Linked DNA regions of Drosophila melanogaster. The protein of the gene in region 1 interacts with the protein of each later gene in a pairwise test. Each region holds a gene or a part of one and is shown in the gene's direction. Other genes may lie near its edges. The genes, in order: CG12355, Wwox, CG10063 and CG32987.

Region 1 (5,411 bases):
AAATGCGCCAGAATACTTAGTGCCTACATATGTATACCCTTTTCTAATATTGTTGAAAACTTACCGCTGTTGCATCAGCAGTGGACTGATGGAGTCGTACAGCTCACCAATGGAGTTCACATGGGAGCCACTGGGGCCCCTCTTCTCCGGATCGCTCTCACTCGAACTGGAGCTATCGATTCCCCGGAGCAACTGCACCAGTCGCTCGTTTCGCTTCCTTTCCGTGTCCAGTGAAAACACCAGTTCCTGAACCCGTTCTGTCTGCCGATCGAGGGCCATTCGGAGCTTGAACTCCTGCTGCCGATCCTCGTGAATTGTGTGCTCCAGTTCATTCACTAGTCGCAGTATCTGTTGGACGGTCTGCTGGTAGGGATTGGGCTCCTGGTTTTTGTTCAGGCTGGCATCAGTTGAGGCCAGATGATTTTCGCCCAGTGATATGGGCTCGTCCTCTTCGTCCTCCGAGGGAAGTAAGAGACTGGAAACGGGATCCAAATTTGAATTATTTGAAGACGAGCTCGACGTGGAGCTAAGAGGGGCCAGGGGACGACCCAAGTCGCTCTTTCTCGTGACGGTTCCGAAGCCAAGACCGTTGCTCACACTCCTCAGAAGGGTGCTCAGGTTCATCCTTGGTCCTTTCCCACCTCGTGTCGCTGTCGTCGTCGATGTCTCCGTCTTGTCACCTGACTGTAAAAGTACTCAGGTGTGTGCTGCGCTGTGTGCTCGGCTTGTTTGTCACTAAATGACTGCCTACTTGTGCTCGGTACACTACAATAAATAAATATAAAAACAGATACTTTTAGATGCTTTTAAGATATTAGCTTTTTTGTAGAATTGATTCTCTATCAATGTTTAGACTTCTAATTAAACAGCAGGAAGTCAAAAAGTTGTGGTTTCTATTATGAATATAGCAATATTTACTACAATTTAAACAAATTAAATTATGTAAATTTCTTCTTATTGGTTTCTGAAGCTTTTCTTAGATTTTTCCGAGTATACCAACAGCTATCCGAAAGTTGCTGCCTTCCGGGCTCACTTTCCATATGGTATCGCACAACTTTTTAAATTGCTTTCAGTTTTAACACCTTTGCCTTCAGTTTTCCCGGCACTCAATCAAAGTTGTCGTTACTCCGCCACCGATTTCATTCCCTCGCATATGTTCTGAAGGCTTTTCCCGACTTTTCCCAACTGCCTTCACAGCTTTCCTCTGGTGTTTGTTAGTCGTGCGTAAATTGCCATTAGCCAAAAAGGGTTGCCAAGACTTGATACACTTATTGCATTTTTATGGGCCAAACTTTTGTTGTTTTTTCCTCAGTTTTTCCATTTTTTGGTTTTGCTGACATAGAGAGTTGCATGTATCCTTGATTAAGAGCGATACATACGTATTGTAAACTTGATTGAGGCAATTTTGCAATCGGTAAAGATTGTGGAGAATACTCGAGAGTTGCCTTTACGTCATGGGTTTCAGTAAAATCCTTGATGATGTTTTTGCACCAAGTAAAAAAATTTATTGTAGTAAATTGCAGCATATTAACTAGATTTAACTAGATATACAAAGGTTATAGTATCGCTGCTATTGACAATTAATTATACGAGGTTCACTTAATTTTCCGACTGCTACTATGACAGCTACCGGATATAATAATCCGATTTTATAGTTTATATATTTCATAATTTATAATAAAATATGAATATTCGTTCTTTTAATCCAGACTGAACCGCTTTTTGAAAGGAAGTGGAAAATATTTTGTACAATGGTTGCTTTTGAGTTTGTAAGAGTTTATAAAAAACTAATAGTCGCCGTAAAATTCGTCAAATCAACCCAAATATAAATCCTAATCAAAAATGAAATATTTTTTTTTGGATATGCTTATTTCACATCTTTAAATCCATTCAGCGATTTCAATGGAGTGTTGGAAGACTCAGCCGCAGCTCTTATCTGGGTTCCTTGGATGCCCATCATCACAATTTCCTGATAGTTTCTATTTTTTAACATTGTTTCGAGCTTGTTAAGCAATTCCCATTATTCAATGGCCTACCAAATTATTTTAAAATTACACTTCCTTAAATTTCGTTGATGAATTATTATTAAAAATGCTGGAAGTAAGTAATAGAATTAAATCTAATCTGTGAAGACTGATAAGGCCGTCTAAGATATCGCTTAGGTAACTGCATTTGTAAGCTTTTATTAAACAAGAAAGATTTACTCCACGCTCTTGTTTGCATTCAAAAAACGTAAACATTTTTATTTTCTCTTAGCTGCCCGTCTTTCTCTTTTGGCTCTCTTCTTTTCACTTATTGTCTTTTGTAACAGCTGAGCCATCGCTTGGAATTTTCCTCAGTAAAGCTCCGTTAGCGCTGGCGGCTGGCCGCTTCCAAAAAAAATTCATTAGAAAGTTGTCACAAAAAATTTGTTATTAATATTAATCAAAATTCAAGCAATTAAGATAATGGCTCGGTTAATTTCGGGAGTTCGCAATTTGTTCCATCGATATCCATTCGTCACCAACAGCGCCATCTATGGGAGCCTTTATGTGGGCGCCGAGTATTCCCAGCAATTCGCATCCAAACGCTGGTTGGCCGTAAGTAAAATCATTTACAGACACTCATGTGCAGAATATGAGCTTGGAGATATATCCGAGGGCGATCTGGCGATTTCTAATCCTATTTATGTGCCCCGTAGACGGCGAGCAAACCTGAGGATATCGATTATGCAACAATAGGAAGATATGCCGTGATGGGTACTGCAGTATATGCCCCAACACTTTACCTTTGGTTCGTGCCCTCAGTTTTATGAATCTGTACATACATAGCCACATTTTATTATTACTTGCACATGTACACAGTGATGGTCGACATAGTAGCTCTGCTTTTTTGTTTGATTTCTAATACAATCTGTTTATCATGAAATCTATAACTTTTCATTATAATTTCTTATTTCTAAATTTCTGATTTTATGTTATGACTAAAAAACGACACTTTAGAGCAAAAACAGTCAACTTAAAATATTAGTATATAAATCGGAGCTATTACGTTGGCCGAGGCTGTTCATACTAACACATCTGTGGACCATTCAATTTACTCACACTTACATGCTTGCCATTTAACCATTCTTTTTATTTCCTCAATTTGCTTCGCCGTACGCTTCTGTTGTTGTTTTTGACTTTTATCAATTTGTTTACGATTCCGGTAAAGCTCCATGAGCACGTGTCGCAAGTCAAGAGCATGTCTCTCCGCCATTTTTATCACTTTCTCTTCACACTTTCTCTTTAGAAGCACCCACGCCACCAGAGCACCAAGCTTTTCCTCTTTAATTGAGTGAGAGGGAAAAGCTGCCCAGAAAAGCACGCAACGCACTGAGAAATTGGGCATATTTGCACGACATAAAAGTCAAAATGCAACGTAAGTTTGGGAAGTTGGAAGTTGGCTACTGGGGATCTGGATTCGAAAAACAAAACTTACAAAAGAAAACAAGATGCACACAAGGATATACAAACATAGGGAATAAAGATCTCGGAATATTATAAATACATATCACAAACACATACACAATGTATGAAACACTTACACATAAATAAATACTAACACCATAAATTGATTACAAATATGCAAACACACTATATAAAGTAACTCCAAAAGCACTATATATACACCAAAAAAAGATCTTGCTTACCTAGCCTGCTTTAGCTTTTACTTTGATGTCTTAAATATAATCAAGCATATATATCAAGCATAATAATTCAAATAATCAATTTCCTAGGTACAAATGGTTAGATCGCGCTTTTCCTGGCACCACTAAGGTTATCATAGTTAAAAAATTAGTGCTTGATCAGTTTGTACTAACGCCTTATCTATTGACTGTGTTTTATGCAGGTAAGTTCCACTGATACACTCAAATGTAAAGATTAATTAATGTATATTAAATTAATAATACATTTTCATGTTTATTTTTGTACGCTTAACACATGTTCTCTGTTATTTGACAATTAACAAACTAATTTCTATTTCCAGGCATGTCCATCATGGAGGGCTCTGCGGATATTTTCCTGGAACTCCGCGAAAAATTCGTGCCGACTTTTATGCGTTCCTGCATTTTCTGGTTGCCCGCGCAGGCCTTGAACTTTTCCCTGGTTGCACCCCGATTCCGTGTCATCTATATGGGTATTTGTGGATTGATTTGGGTGAATATTCTATGTTGGACCAAGCGGCAAAGTCTTCCAGTCGCAACGAAAGAAATTGCAACTGATTCAAATAATAATGCAGCTGCCATAAGGAATTCCGAAACATGAGATTTGAATATACACCATACACCATAACCATGTATATAGTCCTAGATAGTTTTTGACCATGCATTGCCAAATAAAGGAGAAGCAAATAGTGTGGTAGACTTATTTATTTAACCTGATTGCAAAGCGTTCGTATACAGTGCGTATGATTGATGTTCCCATAAACGGAAACTCATCAATTACTACTTACCCTCTATTCATCTATTTCTGTGAGTGCGAGCTTGTGTGTGTGTGTGTGTGTCTGCTGTTTATCAGCGTGTGTAAGCGCGTTAAATTGTGTGCGTGTGTGCGTAAATGTTTCCATCAACATTTGCCACACTCAAACAATAAAGAACTATCCTGCGTATCCCGCTGGACTCCGTGCACTGAACTCCCTAAACCAAAATTTATGTGACATATAACAAAAAATTCAATTTTTTAAAATTATCCCTGTTTTTGGTTCAAACATAACCAGGTGCGCTTCGTCACTACGTGCACTGCTATCCATAGTAGTAATCAGGTTTCGTCACTTATAAGAGCTTTTGTATGTTTAAGTGGGTTTTGCCTTAACATTTACATTAGATATTGTTCCCTAATTTATGTCTCTTGTTCAATGGCAGCTATCCGTGGCTAAATGCATTGTAATTCCCCGATCGCATTAACTTTTTGCCTAATTATTGCTCATCTCTACCATCTCGGCCGACTGATGCCCATGACCCCTGACCCACGAGCTTACGGAGCACCCAGCAAAACTAATTAGACGTGGCGTGTTTCGGCTGCCAACTCCCTTCGATATCCGCCCCATGTTAATGCGTTGAGTGTGTGCGTCTGTTTAACTTATTGTTGTCTATTTAAATTGCAATTTGTCAATATGCGTGTGTGTTGTAGTTACCGCACGCCCATCTGAGGCCACCTCCTTGTTTTTCCTCACAGTTTTCCATTTGCACTGAAAGAAATCGTAGTAATATAAAGCATTTGATAGCAAGCTAAACAAAATTAAACATGTCCTCAAAATATGTACGTTAATGAAGTAGTATTATATTATATCTATATCTTGTTTTAAGGGCAAATAGTATCCCTACGAATAAGATATATCAATAACTCCAAATTCAATACACTCTGAGTTTTATATAGCTTACATTCTATGAA
Region 2 (7,712 bases), on another chromosome or scaffold:
CGGCCTGATGCTGCAGGATCTGCAACAGCCCACCAGGGAGGCGATCTCCGCAGGACGACCGCTGACCGATTGGCGGGCGAGCAGCGCGATGAGATCCAATCGACGGGCCCAGCGACCCGGTGCTCATGAGGTGCACCTGGCCAATGGACTGTTCACACAGACCGGCTACACACTCAATCCCGACTACAGGTGAGCCGAGCAGCGGATAATTATCCGGCTGCAAACTGGAACTATAGCGATATCTGGTTGGGAATGGGTGCTGGGAAATGCCAAACGATTAGCGATCGCCTTGAGGTTTTACACCGTGAAAAACTGAAGGCCATGCGGGCTAAAGTGATCTCCTTTTCTGAATGCCAAGTGAGGGAAACAGGTTCATTGTACCAGCAAAATGATCTCACCCATTATCATCAAGCGTTTAGTGTCTCTTGATGGTGGTGCTCCAAAAGGAAGTATTTATTTTATATTCGAAGATAATATACAACGAGAAAATATTAGAATATATTTTTCTGTGTAGAAATGAGCGTGTAATTCCACTTATATTTATGAATCTTTAAAGCCCAAGCTTTCATTGAGAAATATATATGTACGTACGTACGTATAAAGTTTAGAATATAAATGGGAACCATTGACAAACAAATTTAGTAAGAACTTTTAGTGCGATTGTTTTTATGTAGAGAACTTGAATAAAATTAAATCGGAATTGGAATTGGAATTATCAGTTAATCAAATATTTAATTAGAAACCTTAGGTCAAATAGTAGGTACAATGAATTGCCAAAAATTTGGCAAATAAAAAGCACTGATAAGAATGGATTAACTTAAAAACATAACTAAGACATTTAATTATTTATTTATTCTTCAATTATAGCTGATCAAACATTGCAAAAAAAGCGGAAAAAAACTACTTTCCCAAGTTATTATTTAGCTCACCAGATATTGCAATTCCAACCCATCCCCAGTTCCCCAATACTATCGCTCCACTTTGCACAACGTTGTTGGCATACTAATAGCTGCGCCTTGTTGATTTATTACTCATGAGCTCCACTTTTGTGCAATTCCAGACGGGTGATCGTCGAGGTCTACGCCTCGGATCTGCAGATTCAGGATTTCGAGGGCAGTCCGGCGACAGCACGATACAATATCAATGCTTATGTGGCGCAGCACACAAAGAATCACATCGAGAACATCATCGCCAGCGATATTCCGCAGACCACCAGGATGATTCTGGCCAACGCATTGTACTTTAAGGCATTCTGGGAAACGGACTTTATAGAGTCAGCCACACGTCCGGATAACTTCTATCCGAATGGCGAGGGAACGGAGCCGGTGATGAGGGTGCAGATGATGGCCACCGGTGGTGCATATCCGTATCACGAGGATCACGAGCTGGGCTGCAAGATCATTGGACTGCCGTACAGGGGAAATCTGAGCACCATGTACATCATCCAGCCGTTTAAGTCGTCGGTGAGGGAGCTAATGGCACTGCAGAAACGTCTGACGGCGGATAAGATCGAGAGCATGATCAGCCGAATGTACAGACGGGCCGCTCTGGTGGCATTCCCAAAGATGCATCTTACGGAGTCGGTGAACTTGAAGACAGTCATGCAGCGAATGGGGCTGGGCGGCATCTTTAGCGCGGTGCAGAATGATCTCTCGCTCATCGCCACCAACGAGGCCACGAGGACGAATGCGCTGGGCGGCAACAGCCTGCAGAATCTGGAGGCACAGCGCAGAGCCGGAACGGGTGGAGCACGTTCCGATCTGGTGGTGGATGACATTGTTCACAAAGTGGACTTCACCGTCAACGAGCAGGGCACGGAGGCGGCGGCGTCTTCGGTCACATACCTCAAGAAATCCGGTCCCGATGTCCTCTTCCGCGGAGACACTCCATTCATGGTCCTTGTGCGCCACGATCCCACGAAACTGGTGCTCTTCTACGGACTCATAAATGAGCCCCCGGCGGCCGCTTAGTTTCTAGGATCATAAGTTATTAAGCTTTAGCACCTAAGTTCGTTGACTTTATAGTTAGGAAACTAATAAATCATTCACAATGATGAAAAATAAATTAAAACGTAAATTATGAAAATTTGTATTGGTTTTTGTTGCTGTTGAATCTTTTCACATTATCCTATGTACCGTACAGCAGGCAGATTAAACAATGCCCACAAATGTTCAAGGCGCTAAGTTTCTACAAATCATTTAAATTTAAAAAACAACCGCCAATCAACCGGTTGCGGTTAAAAGCTCTGTTAAACGGAGATGCTGATTATTAGCGGGTAACATGTTTCGTTTAACGGAACAGCTGTTCATTTAGTCGGCAGTTATCGCTTAAGCCGCATGTTATCGATATCTTCAATTATTTTGTATTCTTTTTCGCAATAAAAAGTGTATACTTTAGAAATAAAGCTTTAAATAAGTTTAAATTGATTCGAAATGATAGCCCTACCCGACACAGATAGCGAGGATGAGCTGCCACCCGGCTGGGAGGAACGTGCCACCGATGACGGCACCGTTTGCTATGTGAAGTAAGTCAAAAGTCCAGTGGAGTCGTAAACATTGTCTGATATTTTTTAATTGCACCATTTAGCCAGCAGGGAAAAACATCACAGTGGACACATCCACGTACGGGTCGCTCCAAACGGATCACGGGCGAATTACCCTTGGGCTGGGAGAAGTACTACGATGAGCAGGGAAAGCGTTTCATGTTCCTCAACAAGGAGACGCAGCAACGAACGAATGTGGATCCTCGTTTGGCATTCGCCGTGGAGGAGCCCACACAGAATGTGGCCCAGGTGCGCCAGCGATTTGACTCCTGTTCGACGGCACTGCAGGTGCTGCACGGCAAGGATTTGCATGGACGCACCGCGCTGATAACGGGCGCAAATTGTGGCATTGGCTACGAGACGGCTCGTTCGCTCGCCCATCACGGCTGTGAGATCATCTTCGCCTGCCGGAACAGATCCTCCGCAGAGGCGGCCATCGAAAGGATTGCCCAGGAGCGACCTGCAGCACGTTCCCGCTGTCGATTCGCCGCTCTCGACTTGAGCTCTTTGCGTTCAGTTCAGCGATTTGTGGAAGAAATTAAGCAGAGTGTTAGGTCAGTAGCATAGCTTTCAAAATCTAATATTATTTAATTGATAATTATATTTATATTGCAGCCACATTGATTATCTCATCCTTAATGCCGGAGTATTCGCACTGCCCTACACGAGGACCGTGGATGGTCTGGAGACCACATTCCAGGTCTCGCACCTGTCGCATTTCTACCTCACATTGCAACTGGAGACACTGTTTGACTACAAAACACGGATCATTGTGCTGTCATCCGAGTCGCACAGGTAAGTGTGAATTTGAGCACTTTAGCACGTAATTAGGGAGGGAGGGGGTAATAGAGTATACCAGTTACGAAATAATTCATATATATTCTTATGGTGTGTATAAAAGGTTACAAACTAACCGCTGAACTTAAGTTTTATATTTCGTATGAAATATCAATAGATCAATCTTAAAAATTAAGTATTCAAAAGATATATGTTAAAAAAGGTTACATGGGAAATACAAAATCAACTGGTTATATTTCGCACTATCAGTAAGGGAATTAAAAAGTTATTTACAATTCGATCGTATTGTTTCTTGTATCAATTTTACTATCAGTCACTGTCTCAATAGAAAATCGTCTCTACTTAAGTTAAATAAAATACATCGAAGCTTCAAAATATATAAATTGATGTATTATATATAATTTCTTAAACCTATTTTCTTGAATCAATTTGGCTTATTTCTTTCCTAATTAAATTTCTCAATGTCAGCACTGTTAATCTCGTTTTAATAATTATTATTTTTTTGTTTCTGTTTTTGGCCGGCAAACAGTTGTCATTATTGCAACCTGTTTGTGTGCAAAATGATTATTATCAAAATCACACGGGTATTTTAATTGAAGCTGAATTTGGTGCATGTCACATTCTAAAAATATATATATTTAATATATTTTTAATAAGGAATAAAATAAAATTATATACTTTATGTTTTAACTATCTTAATAACTTTACAATATTAATTTAATTTATTTAATGTAGTTATAAATTCAATAGCTATTTCGTATTCGACACCATCAGTTTTAAATGTGTGTCTGCCATTTCGAGTTGCCTTCTTTTATTTTTGCAAGTTGATTGCACTTTTATGATTCCGCATAGTGGACTTTGCACCCAGCGTTTTCTTTTTTTTCGCACTTTGGGGCCAAACTATTCATAGACCAAACCAGAAATAAATGCATTCCGCCTCAGCCATGCCGTCTAGTGTAATGTTTTCCAAAATGTTTGCCTATTTGCCTCAGATTTGTTTGCGTAAGATGTTTTCCGTTTGATTCGATTTCAAGGCGAAACGTAATTGAACTCAGCTTGGCATATATGAGTATATATTATTCATAGGCTTCGTTTACATATTGTGCTGCGCACTCAGAGGCAAACAAAGAAACACATAAATATAAACAATTACGAGGCCAACGCAGCTGGGTTTTTGTATTATCAAAACCAAAAACGTGCGTACAATAGAGCAATATGATCGAACTCACGTGCAGCTGTAAGCACAGTGGAGTAGAGAGCTCTGAAAATATGATTGTAATCTTTCTTTAAAAAATATCTATGAGATAAATTAACTAAACTGAAGAAAGTATTTTTGTTTTTCTTTTAAAACTAAAACACATTCAGATTAGCTACGCATATAAATCCAAGCAGAGTACTTTTTTTGTAAGATAAACTTTGAATGTTCAAAACTAGCATGCTTTAAATAGATACTATAAATGTAAAAAGTGCCCCTATAATTTTCCTTATCAGCGCTAACTCGCTTAATTAGATTGATTCATTTGTGGCCGCTCGAATGGCTCACTGTGCATGCTGTCAAAGACCAAATAAATCACTGGGTGAGCGAATCTCGTGAAGAGGCACAATACCAATTCAAACTGAACTGGATGTACATATGTATGTACATACATACTGGCTATTGGAGGTGGTTTTGTATCTGCTGCGTTCGTTGCTGTGCTCACGTACAACATTTTTTGGCTTCGCGGAGCATACATGACTATCTGCGAGTACTCCAATGTGGCGCACGAGACTTTTGTTGCACGTTCACACGGGCGAGAAAAAGATATGAATGTTGGTATGGAAGTTCGACTGGTTATCATTTTCAAACATTAAAGATTACTTACAATTAGTTATTCTTGCATCAGCTCACAAAAATTGGGTTATTCATTGTTGCATAGATAAAATATTTTTATTTAAGGTTTCTCTTTTTCAAATAATTATATTTTTGCGTGGGAAAAGTTGTCCAGACATTAAACAATTATTAATTCAATTAGAGTCTTAAGGTAAAGCAACGAGTTATTGTTCTAAAATTAAATGCCATTCAGCAGCAATTTATCTGTCTGTAGAACCTAATTAATTTACATGCAAACAGTCGAAAAGAACGCTTTTTTGCTTACCTACCACAACAAGATACAAATATACATATATAAAAAAAGAAAAAAAATGGAACGCCAACGGGTTTCATTTGTCATGGATGCCAATGGATACCCATACTTATAAATAACACTGAATTTGCATACATTTTGCGACGTTATATTTACATCGCCCCCAAGCCGAGCGCAGATATTCAATAAAATGAAAACAAATCCAAAGTCCAGAAATGTGCGCGCAGATATGTGTTTGTGTATAGAAATGTTTTCATGTTGCGGCATTCGTGGATTCGCAGGAAATGTGCGACTTGCGCATGCGCTACTGCCGAGGATTCCAGAGGCTTCCGCCGAAAACTGGAGATACATAGATACATAGATAGATAGATAGATAGATAGATAGATACATAGATAGATAGTTCGCCATAGAGTTCACTATGCATATCAGAGGGTCCTTGTTCGATTGTGGGGCTTTGTTCCGCCGGCCCCACTTGTTGACTCACGCCATTGTTCGTGGGGAGCCTTTGTGCGCCCTGCACTGCGCTAATTCTGCATCTCATTAATAAAGAGCGCTTAAAGCCGGCTATGCCAGCCGGCAATGGCAATCAAGACTCGTTTCGCGATTGTCGGCCGGCGGGGCCAAAGTCCAGTGAGTTCACTTGGACGAGAAATGTTCATGTGGGTCTCATGTACCGACAAAGAAATGCGTCGCAAATAATCTTAGTTACTAACTAACATGCAGATTTGCCAACCTGCCCGTGGAGAATCTGGCAGTGCATCACCTTTCGCCGCCGCCGGAGAAATACTGGAGCATGATGGCCTACAACAATGCCAAGCTATGCAATGTCTTGTTCGCCCAGGAGCTCGCCCAGGTGAGTCCTTAAATTGGGTCAATTGAATTCCACTTGCCAACCCTTTTTTTTTGTTTTTTTGTTGCAGCGTTGGAAGCAGCGAGGCATTTCTGTTTTTAGCCTGCATCCGGGCAATATGGTGTCCAGCGATTTGTCACGAAACTATTGGTTCTACCGCCTGCTCTTTGCCATTGTGCGTCCCTTCACCAAGTCGCTGGTGAGTTTGGCAATGAGAAGAACTCTCTGTTTTCCCTTAACTTTCACTAATTGCTTTCTGTGCCCCATATGGCAGCAACAAGCGGCTGCCACGAGTATCTACTGTGCGACGGCCAACGAGCTGACCGGATTGTCTGGACTGTACTTCAACAATTGCTTCTTCTGCGAGCCCAGCAAGTTGTCCAAAAGTGCTGCACTGCAGCAGCAACTGTGGAAGCTGAGCGAGAACCTGATTGCCGAGCTTGTGGAGCAGGAGCAGCATTAGCCAAGTCATTTGGCTACTGTTTTTTAAATATATTTATGCATTATGCTACCACCAATGATTCCATTAGGTATAATTTTACATTTTAAACCAGCTATTCATTACAAAGATATATTTTGAATTCTTTAATAGTTTCTGCCCAATAAGTGCAATGCAAATAAACTTTTGTACGTTAAGAATATCATGTATTTTCTTTTTACACTAAACAAGTATACATTTTGATTTGTTTTTAAGTCTTAATGGCTAGCATTTAAATAACAGTCTAAGTACTAGTTAAGGAACTCTTCATTTGGGCACTAGAAATCGGAGACGCGTCCCTTGCGCTCCCAGTCGCCGTAGCGTGTGGGCTCCGGCCCGGCTGGTCCGCCGATCTCGCCCGTATACGGATTGGTCTGATTGGGCCAGGGCTTGAGTGGTTCCTTCTCCTGGTACGGATGTCGCGAGAATTCATCCAGCTTGCCCAGCGGCGTTTTAGCGCGCAGCTTCTTCTGGAAGGCCATTAGCTTCTCGGTGCGCGTCTTTGGTTCCTTGATCTCGACCACCATGTCGCCACCGCTGGCGGTTGCCCGCCAAGCGCCACTCGTCGATAGATAGCTCACTGTTAATGAAAAATTGAAAGAACGTTAGCATCGCCACTCCAGCACAGTGCGCACACACACACACACACACACACACACACCTTGTTTGCCCATTTGGGGCAGGACTCGCGCCGTTTGTCTGGTCACGGATTGCATTTTGTTTTTTGTTTGGATTTCCTTTATCGGTTATGCAAGATGATGCCGGCGAATCTTCGTTTTTGTTCGCTTCTTAGTCGCAGTTACACTTTGTGTGTTTACTCAAAAGTCTCACTTTCGGCTGGGAGTCAATGTCACTTGCTTGTTGCTTCGCGTCTGAATTGCAATCTGCGAGGCTGCGTTTCGCTTTTATAGCCCGCGTTG
Region 3 (3,987 bases), 8.5 Mb from region 1:
TCATCCATGACACGGGCTACTCGCAGGAGGAATGCGAGGAGTATCGTCGCGTCGTCTTCAGCAACACGGTGCAGAGTCTAATGGTGATCATCCGCGCAATGGGACGCCTGAAGATCGAGTTTGCCGATCCGAGCCGAACGGACATTGCCCGCCAGTTCTTCACACACGCCTCTGCCGCCGACGAGGGCATCCTGCTGCCCGAGATCGTGCTCCTGATGAAGAAACTCTGGGCAGACGGTGGCGTACAGCAGAGCTTCGCCCGATCGCGCGAATATCAGTTGAATGACTCGGCGGGATACTATCTAAATTCGCTGGATAGGATCGCGCAACCGAACTACATACCCACGCAGCAGGATGTGCTACGCACGCGGGTGAAGACCACTGGCATCATCGAGACACACTTCTCCTGCAAGCAGCTGCACTTCAAGTGAGTTGTCATTAATTGCCCACTTCCGGTTGATTCGATTCTAATGGTTATGTTTTTTTTTCGCCACAGACTTTTCGATGTGGGTGGCCAGCGATCGGAGCGCAAAAAGTGGATTCATTGCTTCGAGGGCGTTACGGCCATAATCTTCTGCGTCGCGCTATCAGGTAAGTCAAATATTCTACGAATCTTAGGAATCTAATGCAATTGTTATATATTTCGCTAGGTTACGATCTAGTATTGGCCGAGGACGAAGAGATGAATCGTATGATTGAGTCCCTGAAGCTGTTCGATTCCATCTGCAACTCCAAGTGGTTTGTGGAAACATCCATAATACTGTTCCTCAACAAGAAGGATCTGTTTGAGGAGAAGATCAAGAGATCTCCGCTGACGATATGCTTCCCAGAGTACACAGGTAAGATAAGAGTGTAGAAAACGATTACATTTTTGTTTAACTTGATATACTTTTAGGAACCAACACCTTCGAGGAGGCGGCCAACTACATTCGCATGAAGTTCGAAAACCTGAACAAGCGAAAAGACCAAAAGGAGATATACACGCATCTCACCTGCGCCACGGATACGAACAACGTGAAGTTCGTCTTCGATGCCGTCACCGATGTGATCATCAAGAACAATCTGAAACAAATTGGCTTATTCTGAGAGGGCGGCGGAGCACAAGATCATCATTATTTAGCTGGCGTCGTAGTATTAAAGGAAAACGCGCATAAACATTTCCATTAAACGCTAAGAACTCGATACATTTACGCTCGTACGATCCATATATGTTTTAAATGCGTTACATGCTTGACACACGTAATTTTAATAACCGATTTGGTTGCCAGTAGTCGCGGAACAAATAACCTAACCAGCTGCAATTTAGTTAACCGTGTCCATTAAATTGCACCCATAAGCTAACTAATTTAAACATTAGCCTAACCACACAAATGTAAAGTTCGACAAAGGACAGCCGGTGGGTTTTGTACATCCTAAAACCTCAACCCGATCGGCTCCCTTTGGAATTTAGTTAAGTTTCGCGGGCTAATGGCGGTGACCAAGGGGAGCACCACATCCAGAAATCCCCAGAGGTGTCTCCTTGGGCGCAAGCCATTTTCCGGACGTTTATTCTTTGCCAAGAGCTTGACAGCGTTATTTAAGGTGAACCTAAGGCCTGGAGTTGTAAGCCCTAAAATGTAACTAGTAAACTTACTAATATGTTTAGTAATAGCCTAAATAAAAGACAATTTATACAAAATAACCATTCGTACTTGAATGCTGCCAATGCTGCTTATTATTTCATGTGCGCTTACAGAGCTGACAACTTAGTAAAATAAATATTAGGATCCTTAAATTATGTTGATCATTGCTCAGTTAGTTTAGTGTATATTCCAATTTAGAGCTATAGCTTGTGCCTATTTTCATAAATATATTAGAAACAGTAATTTTGTTTTAGGTTTAGCTTTTTTGAACTTAGCGTTCTTTCCCAAAAAAAATGGGATTTTCTTCGGAAAGAGTTGCAACTCTGGCTGATGATTGTCAAGTTGGCCTTGCCGCATTCTGCTTTTTGTCAGGCATTTTGGATTAATTCGTTTGTTGAAATTGTCAATTGCTTCAGTGAAGAATTTTTAATCTGCTTAAACTTGGAAAATGATTCGCGCCATGGTAATGACCAAATGGAGTAAGTCGGTGGCGGGACCACTGGTCACAGCGTGGAGTAAGTGAAGCAGGCACGTGTTTTTTTCTTAGCAAACTTTAACGCCTTTTCCCACCATAAAGACTACTCCACATTGAATCGCCTCAATGGCAATACTGTGCGCCCGCGTGCTCTGTTCCTGAATCTCGACCGCAAGTTCTCCGCCGAAGGTGGCGGCGATGAGAAGCCCAAGAACGTGCCGCCTGGATTTGCGGCTCCAGGGTTTCCATCCACCTTGGGCAATAACCCAGAGAACACCACGCGTAAGGATGTGCCCATTGGCGAGGTGCAGGCGCCAACTATTTCCGTAGTGAACGCAGGCGGTAAACTGGGCAGAGCTGAGCCACTGGAGGCCAGCACCATCGTGCGCAGCAAGGGCACTTCGAACGAGGACAAGATGACCGAGGCGCAGAAGAAGGCATCGGAGGCCAAGGAGGCGGCCGCCAAGCAGTTGCAGGATGTCATGGCCAACTTGCCTAGCAAGGAGCAGACCGAAAAGTATTTCTTTCGCGTGGTTGCCTTCTTCTATGACTTGACCTACCTAACCGCCACCTGGTTGCTCAACTTTGTCGAGCACAATATCGTTCAAAATGCCAAGGTGCAGCACTACTGGAAGCGATTCCACGAAAAAATGGAGCAGGCCAAGAAGGATTAACTCCCAGCGGAGCCGAAAAATATATTATAAAACTCATGCGAAAGCAAAAAATAAAACAACTCGCTGACGAGTACAAAATTACACTTGACTTGGCCACTTTTCCATCAGATTAACGCCGAGGTGTAGCCATCCAGTAGTTTGGCCAAGAATTTGAGTATCTTGTTGCGAGCGGCCACCAGTTGTGGCGGATCGGTTTTCACCGGCTCATACATATTGGCGCAGTGAGCGGTTCCTAAAAAAAAAAACACAATAAATGCTTACATTACCCAAGTTATATGTGAAAAATGTGTTGGTAAGCACATACCTTCTATGTAAATGGTAGGAAGTGCTGCGTTCGTGGACTTGACCAAGCCCAAAGCATGCCAGGGATCAATGGAACCGTGCACGTACAACACATTTGTGGTCTTTGGCTTTAGGGCGCCATAGTTATCATTTGTGGCGGACACCACCAGTTTGAGGAACTTGGCGTTCATATTCTTGGAGAACACATCCATGCACTGGCGTATAAAGAAGTCGACACCGAAGCGATCACCAAATGTGTCAGCCGGGTTATCCGAGGTCTGATAGAAGCCGAATTCGTGGCAGGTCTGATATGTCCACTGGCGCATTCCCTTGGCCGTCTCCGAGTCCCAGGAAACGTTCTTCATGTCCGCCACCATCTTGTCGTACTTGTAGTCCAGGCAGGTGGTGTTCGATTCCTTCAATAGCATATCGTTGACCAGGCCCAAACGGGTCACAGGTGGACCAGCCGTGGTGTTTAGCATGACATCGCAGATCTATGGAGTTCAAACATTCTTAGTATGGACTTGATAGGGATCAAAGTGAGGATGAAACACACGTCGTCAATGGTGATGGTGGCATGGGGACTGTTGTCCTTGTTGTATTGCACCACTCCAGCAAAGTTGCCAGCCAGATTCTCAAAGAAATTGGCCATGTCCAGGTCGTTTTCAATGGAGTCCTTGATGGGAGTGCATGTTCTGAGTATAAAATGGTTTACAAAATTAAAATTTGTGCAGGACGATAGCCTAATCCACTCACTTGAACTTCTCGTCCAGGCTGCGTTGTCCAATCATGTGCTTGAGTAGAATCTCCACTTGCGCAAAGCTGCGGGTCACGGCGTCCACGCATTCGGGCTTGTAGGCAGCTAGAGAGGCTTTGACCACCTCGAAATACTCCTTGAAGTCAACCTCAGCCAGCAGAGGACCACTGGAGCTAA
Region 4 (4,032 bases), on another chromosome or scaffold:
TTTTTGGCTTGTGCTTTTTGCGGCTCCCGAACATTTTCGTGTTCGCATGCAAAATCCCAAATGAAGTTAGGGCCGGGAAAAGTCGACGGGGGAAATGCCGTTAGTTTGTCCGGGGCTGTCTGAGGTGGGGTTAGGATGGTGATGTGGATTGTAATGGCCTGGTCCACTGCATACGCTCGCATGTCGTTGTTGTCAAGCACTTGCCAACGCTTTCACTTTCCTCCCGACCTCTCGTCGTTGGCCCTTTCATCGTTGTCAGCGTTGTGTGGGTGGAAAATATAAGCCGAAAATGTTATACCATGGTACATTGACCTGCCCTGAAGGGGCCATTGTAGAATAGTAAATAGTCCATATATATGTATGTGGCCCAAGGCCGAAATCTGCAAGAGAAAGATCAATAAACAAGTCGTATGAGTTATTTTAAATTAGTTGCTCTTTTTAGCTTTAAAAATGTTTTATAAATTTGCAGAGAAAATAGAATCTAATCCTAATACTGACATCCGCTACTTGATTTTCAATTTCCGAAAGGTATTCACTTTTTACCAACTCAATAATCCAATCATGAGGAGCAGGCGAGCTAACGACTTGATTGGCAACTCAAGGGTTATACTCCTTCGACTGCAAGCGTATCTATTGCATTGAGCTGCAGCTGCCAGATAACTGACATTCTCCCCGATCGCCTGCTGCCTTGGCATTTGCATGTCTTTAGCGGGGATCAAGGATAAGCGTAGCCAGCTGATTGAGATTGAGTCATAGCCGGAACAATGCCGTCCAACCGTCAACCATCAAGCATCAACCGTCTGTGAAAGTGATTGTGATCGAGGCCGCAGATGCGGCAGTAAACACATCTCGGGATCGCCTTTCTACTCCAGTGTATCCTTGTATCCTTTGCTTTGCGTGTCACTCAAGCGATCAGCAAAACAACAACAAACAATGCAGGCAGGGGAAAGGAGTAAGCATCCTTTGTGGCTGTTTTGTTAGCTTTGATCGGAGCTACTTAGCATTTTCCTTGCAGGCTTTGTAGTCCCCTTGGAATTCCGCATGCCTCGCTGAGTTTTCCGCCCTGATCGAACGGAATAATACTGCTTAGATTTATAAAATGTTAAATATTTATGCATGCCATCGCATTCGGTAAGTCACCGTAATTATCTCTTCCGCGAATCTTAATCTTAGGATAATTGTTATATATATACGGTGTATATAAATATTTCCAGTTCTTAAATCAGATTTACAGGCTATGTATTATTTTGGCTATTAGTAATTTTTAGTAGTATTAGTATTGTTTATGTTTTTAGGGATGTCTTCGTACCCAATCAGGGTGTGCCATAAATATTTTGTCAAAATTTTAAGTGGTTGCCCTCTAAGTGCTCCCAATGTTAGGAGGCAGTTTAAGAAATGACTGGGTCATCTATCCACCAGCCCTCCAGCTTCTCAACTTTCCTTTGCCACAGCAGCAAGAGCAGGCTCCTGGAACTTTGGTTCGATACGAGCATCCTTCGATACACCAGCTTCGCTTAGCACCCCGTAGATTAAGGGCACGACGTTCGGTTGTGGAAGGCGAAGGCTCCAGAGGACTGGACAACGGAAATGGCGACTCGTCGAAAATAATATTTGTGCGGCGCTGCTACATGATGGCTGGATTGTTTTCGACTACAACTGCGATCCTTGCCATAATCCTGTCCAAGGTAATTCCTCCGGAGGCAGATCTTATAATGGCAGGATTCATAAGTGCAATGGTGTCCCTAATGTTTCTCTTTGTCTTCTGTATTTTGACCAAGTTGCGGAGTTTTTATTGGTATAGTTTCATCATGGCCGGGTTGTTTGTAAGTCTGGCAGGTTTGGGCGTTATTCTGCTTCTCCTGGAGCGGAACCTTTCCCGCGTGTGCATTGCCCTTCTGGTGGCCTCCGCCATGACTGTGATATGCTATTTCGCTGGCGCATGGATACCCAAGATCATCCTCCCCGGAGAGAGGACCATGTTCCTCCTGCTCGTCATTTTCGTGATGTCCTCAATCTTTGTGATGACCATGTATATCTTCACAGACAATTGGATCTACCAGTTGGTGTACTTCACGTTATTGGCCACTTTGCTAATACCCGCATCCGTTTACCATGCTCAGGTGGTTCATTCCAGGCGATTCCAGCTGCCCGATTACGAATTCGTTATTTGCGCCGTCAACATCTATCTGCACTTTCTGTTGTTCTTTGCGGCCTTTTACTTTGTCATCTGGGCTCCCAAATGGTGAGAGTTATAGGAGTTAATTTAACGTGTCCGTGTAAAATAAAAAGAAGGCTTTAATGAGAAAAGATACCAATTTGTAAATAAAAGATATAGAAGGTGAGCAGCTTTGCCAGGAGGTAAGTGTCAGGGTGCAGGCCAGACCTAGTCTTAACACTCGGTCCATAAGGATTTTTAACGGGATGGACAACATTTACCACCAGGACAACATCCGGCCGACGATCGAGCAGCTGGACCCAATGACCCAGTTCATCCGCAGCATCTATAACATTGGCCTGATCCTTATCGGAATTACGGTGGGCGCATGGATTCTGCTCATGCTGACCCATATTCACCTGCAGAGGTACCTTCCGTTTCCCTGCTACGTCCTGGCTCTAATAATTTTTCTGGTGATGATATGCATGCATTGTATCCCGAGAATATCCTACTACTCTCCCTGTAAGTGGTTCATGACAGGTCTGGTGGTTGTGTGTACCACCTTGTTTGGCTGCCATTTCATCCACGACTTGAGCCCGCTCATTATCAGTTTCGTGATGATCGGCGTGGCCCTGATCATTATGTTACTCAACTTCTCTGGGGCCATGTGCCCGCAGGAGTTCCTGCCCGGCGGTGTTTGCTCCACGCTGCTGATGATGGCACTGCTGTTGGTCTTGACCATTGTGGGAATCGTCCAGCTCTGCACCGGGAGTGTTGAGCTGCTCGACACCTTCGTCAGCATTCTGTTCCTGATGCTGATCATAGCGATCCCCATTCAGGCGCAGTTCAACCATGGCCGTCTGAACGTCGTGGAAGTGGTTCCCGAAGAGCACCTCATGGTCTGCACCCTGACTTTATACTTGCATTCAATGATGTTCTTCTTCTGCGTGTGCTACTTCATCCTGGTCGACGAGAGAAAGGAGGCCATCAGACAAACATCTGAAGCTCCGAAAATTTCACTCGAAAATGATTTTGATTGAGAGAAATAGCTGTCACTGTGTGATCGAAACTGATTAGCGATCTGGCAAGTTACTATGGTGTTCCAGACCAAAGGATACTGTCATCCAGTCTAATTACTTAGTGCGGTGTAGCCTAGGCGGTACAGAAAATATAAATATATTCTCATTGCAAGGCAATTAGAATAAAGCCAGAGTATTATGAAAAGTCCTAGTCTCAATATAAGAGAAAATGAATCACTTACTTTGCTTTTTTCTTCAAAATTACATTATATTGACCTAAAATAATTGATTAACACATGAATAATCGCAATCGGGGTTGGGGTCGTTATGGCCTTAGAACCGGAAGACCTGGTGGCGAGCCAGTTCCTGCGGAGGGACCGGAGGTCTTAGTCATCAACGAGCGGGAGTTGCGGGCCTTCATCTTCCGGGTGTACCTATCCTCCGTAGTGCTGTGCCTGCTGTCTTCCATTTCGTGGATCATACTGTCGGCACTCGCTGTGAGGGTCTACAAGGCAATTCCAGTGCCGCCGTTCGTTTGGCTGATATTAGCTTTCATCATTCTCTCAGTGCTCGGCTGCATCGCACAGACTCCAGCATTGACCTTGTTATGCTGGGGATTGGTGCTGGGATCCTTGTTCTTTCTCACCCTGTTCGGAGCGTATTATATGCATCTAGTGCGCGTCTGGGTCCTTTTGATTGCCATTTTGGTTGCCGGATCCCTGCTGGCCCTGCTGCATTTGTATGGGGCCAAAAGTCCGGAGGTTCTGCTACCCAACATTATCTGTACTTGCTGCATTTTTCTGCTGCTCACCGTCACCATGATCGTCCTGCTAATACTCTTCCTGATCATCAATGATA

What was found.
Region 2: the proteins of CG12355 (region 1) and Wwox interact in a two-hybrid assay, tested with the Drosophila melanogaster proteins (one large-scale study listed by BioGRID).
Region 3: the proteins of CG12355 (region 1) and CG10063 interact in a two-hybrid assay, tested with the Drosophila melanogaster proteins (one large-scale study listed by BioGRID).
Region 4: the proteins of CG12355 (region 1) and CG32987 interact in a two-hybrid assay, tested with the Drosophila melanogaster proteins (one large-scale study listed by BioGRID).

Annotation. Positions count from the first base shown.
Region 1 is NT_037436.4:15,491,928-15,497,338, reverse strand, and holds CG12355 (uncharacterized protein), read left to right. Parts: upstream 1-1,789; 5' UTR 1,790-2,100; intron 2,101-2,334; exon of another isoform or gene 2,335-2,436; 5' UTR 2,437-2,447; coding exon 2,448-2,579; intron 2,580-2,680; coding exon 2,681-2,772; intron 2,773-3,061; exon of another isoform or gene 3,062-3,399; intron 3,400-3,757; coding exon 3,758-3,870; intron 3,871-4,008; coding exon 4,009-4,286; 3' UTR 4,287-4,375; downstream 4,376-5,411. Other genes in the region: CG13455 (uncharacterized protein), read right to left, coding at 65-624.
Region 2 is NT_033779.5:7,998,909-8,006,620, reverse strand, and holds Wwox (WW domain containing oxidoreductase), read left to right. Parts: upstream 1-2,334; 5' UTR 2,335-2,432; coding exon 2,433-2,524; intron 2,525-2,586; coding exon 2,587-3,096; intron 3,097-3,157; coding exon 3,158-3,337; intron 3,338-6,187; coding exon 6,188-6,317; intron 6,318-6,384; coding exon 6,385-6,513; intron 6,514-6,588; coding exon 6,589-6,777; 3' UTR 6,778-6,951; downstream 6,952-7,712. Other genes in the region: Spn28Dc (serpin 28Dc), read left to right, coding at 1-189, 1,061-1,970; Sirup (Starvation-upregulated protein), read right to left, coding at 7,071-7,372, 7,454-7,508. UniProt on the Drosophila melanogaster protein: Putative oxidoreductase. May control genotoxic stress-induced cell death. May play a role in TGFB1 signaling and TGFB1-mediated cell death. May also play a role in tumor necrosis factor (TNF)-mediated cell death. May play a role in Wnt signaling.
Region 3 is NT_037436.4:6,970,442-6,974,428, reverse strand, and holds CG10063 (uncharacterized protein), read left to right. Parts: upstream 1-1,961; 5' UTR 1,962-2,070; coding exon 2,071-2,137; intron 2,138-2,199; coding exon 2,200-2,771; 3' UTR 2,772-2,850; downstream 2,851-3,987. Other genes in the region: Galphai (G protein alpha subunit i), read left to right, coding at 1-427, 497-591, 651-839, 896-1,086; CG9953 (uncharacterized protein), read right to left, coding at 2,876-3,003, 3,076-3,547, 3,610-3,748, 3,810-3,987.
Region 4 is NT_033779.5:8,861,434-8,865,465, forward strand, and holds CG32987 (uncharacterized protein), read left to right. Parts: upstream 1-2,377; 5' UTR 2,378-2,421; coding exon 2,422-3,195; 3' UTR 3,196-3,414; downstream 3,415-4,032. Other genes in the region: CG32986 (uncharacterized protein), read left to right, coding at 1,374-2,246; CG32988 (uncharacterized protein), read left to right, coding at 3,471-4,032.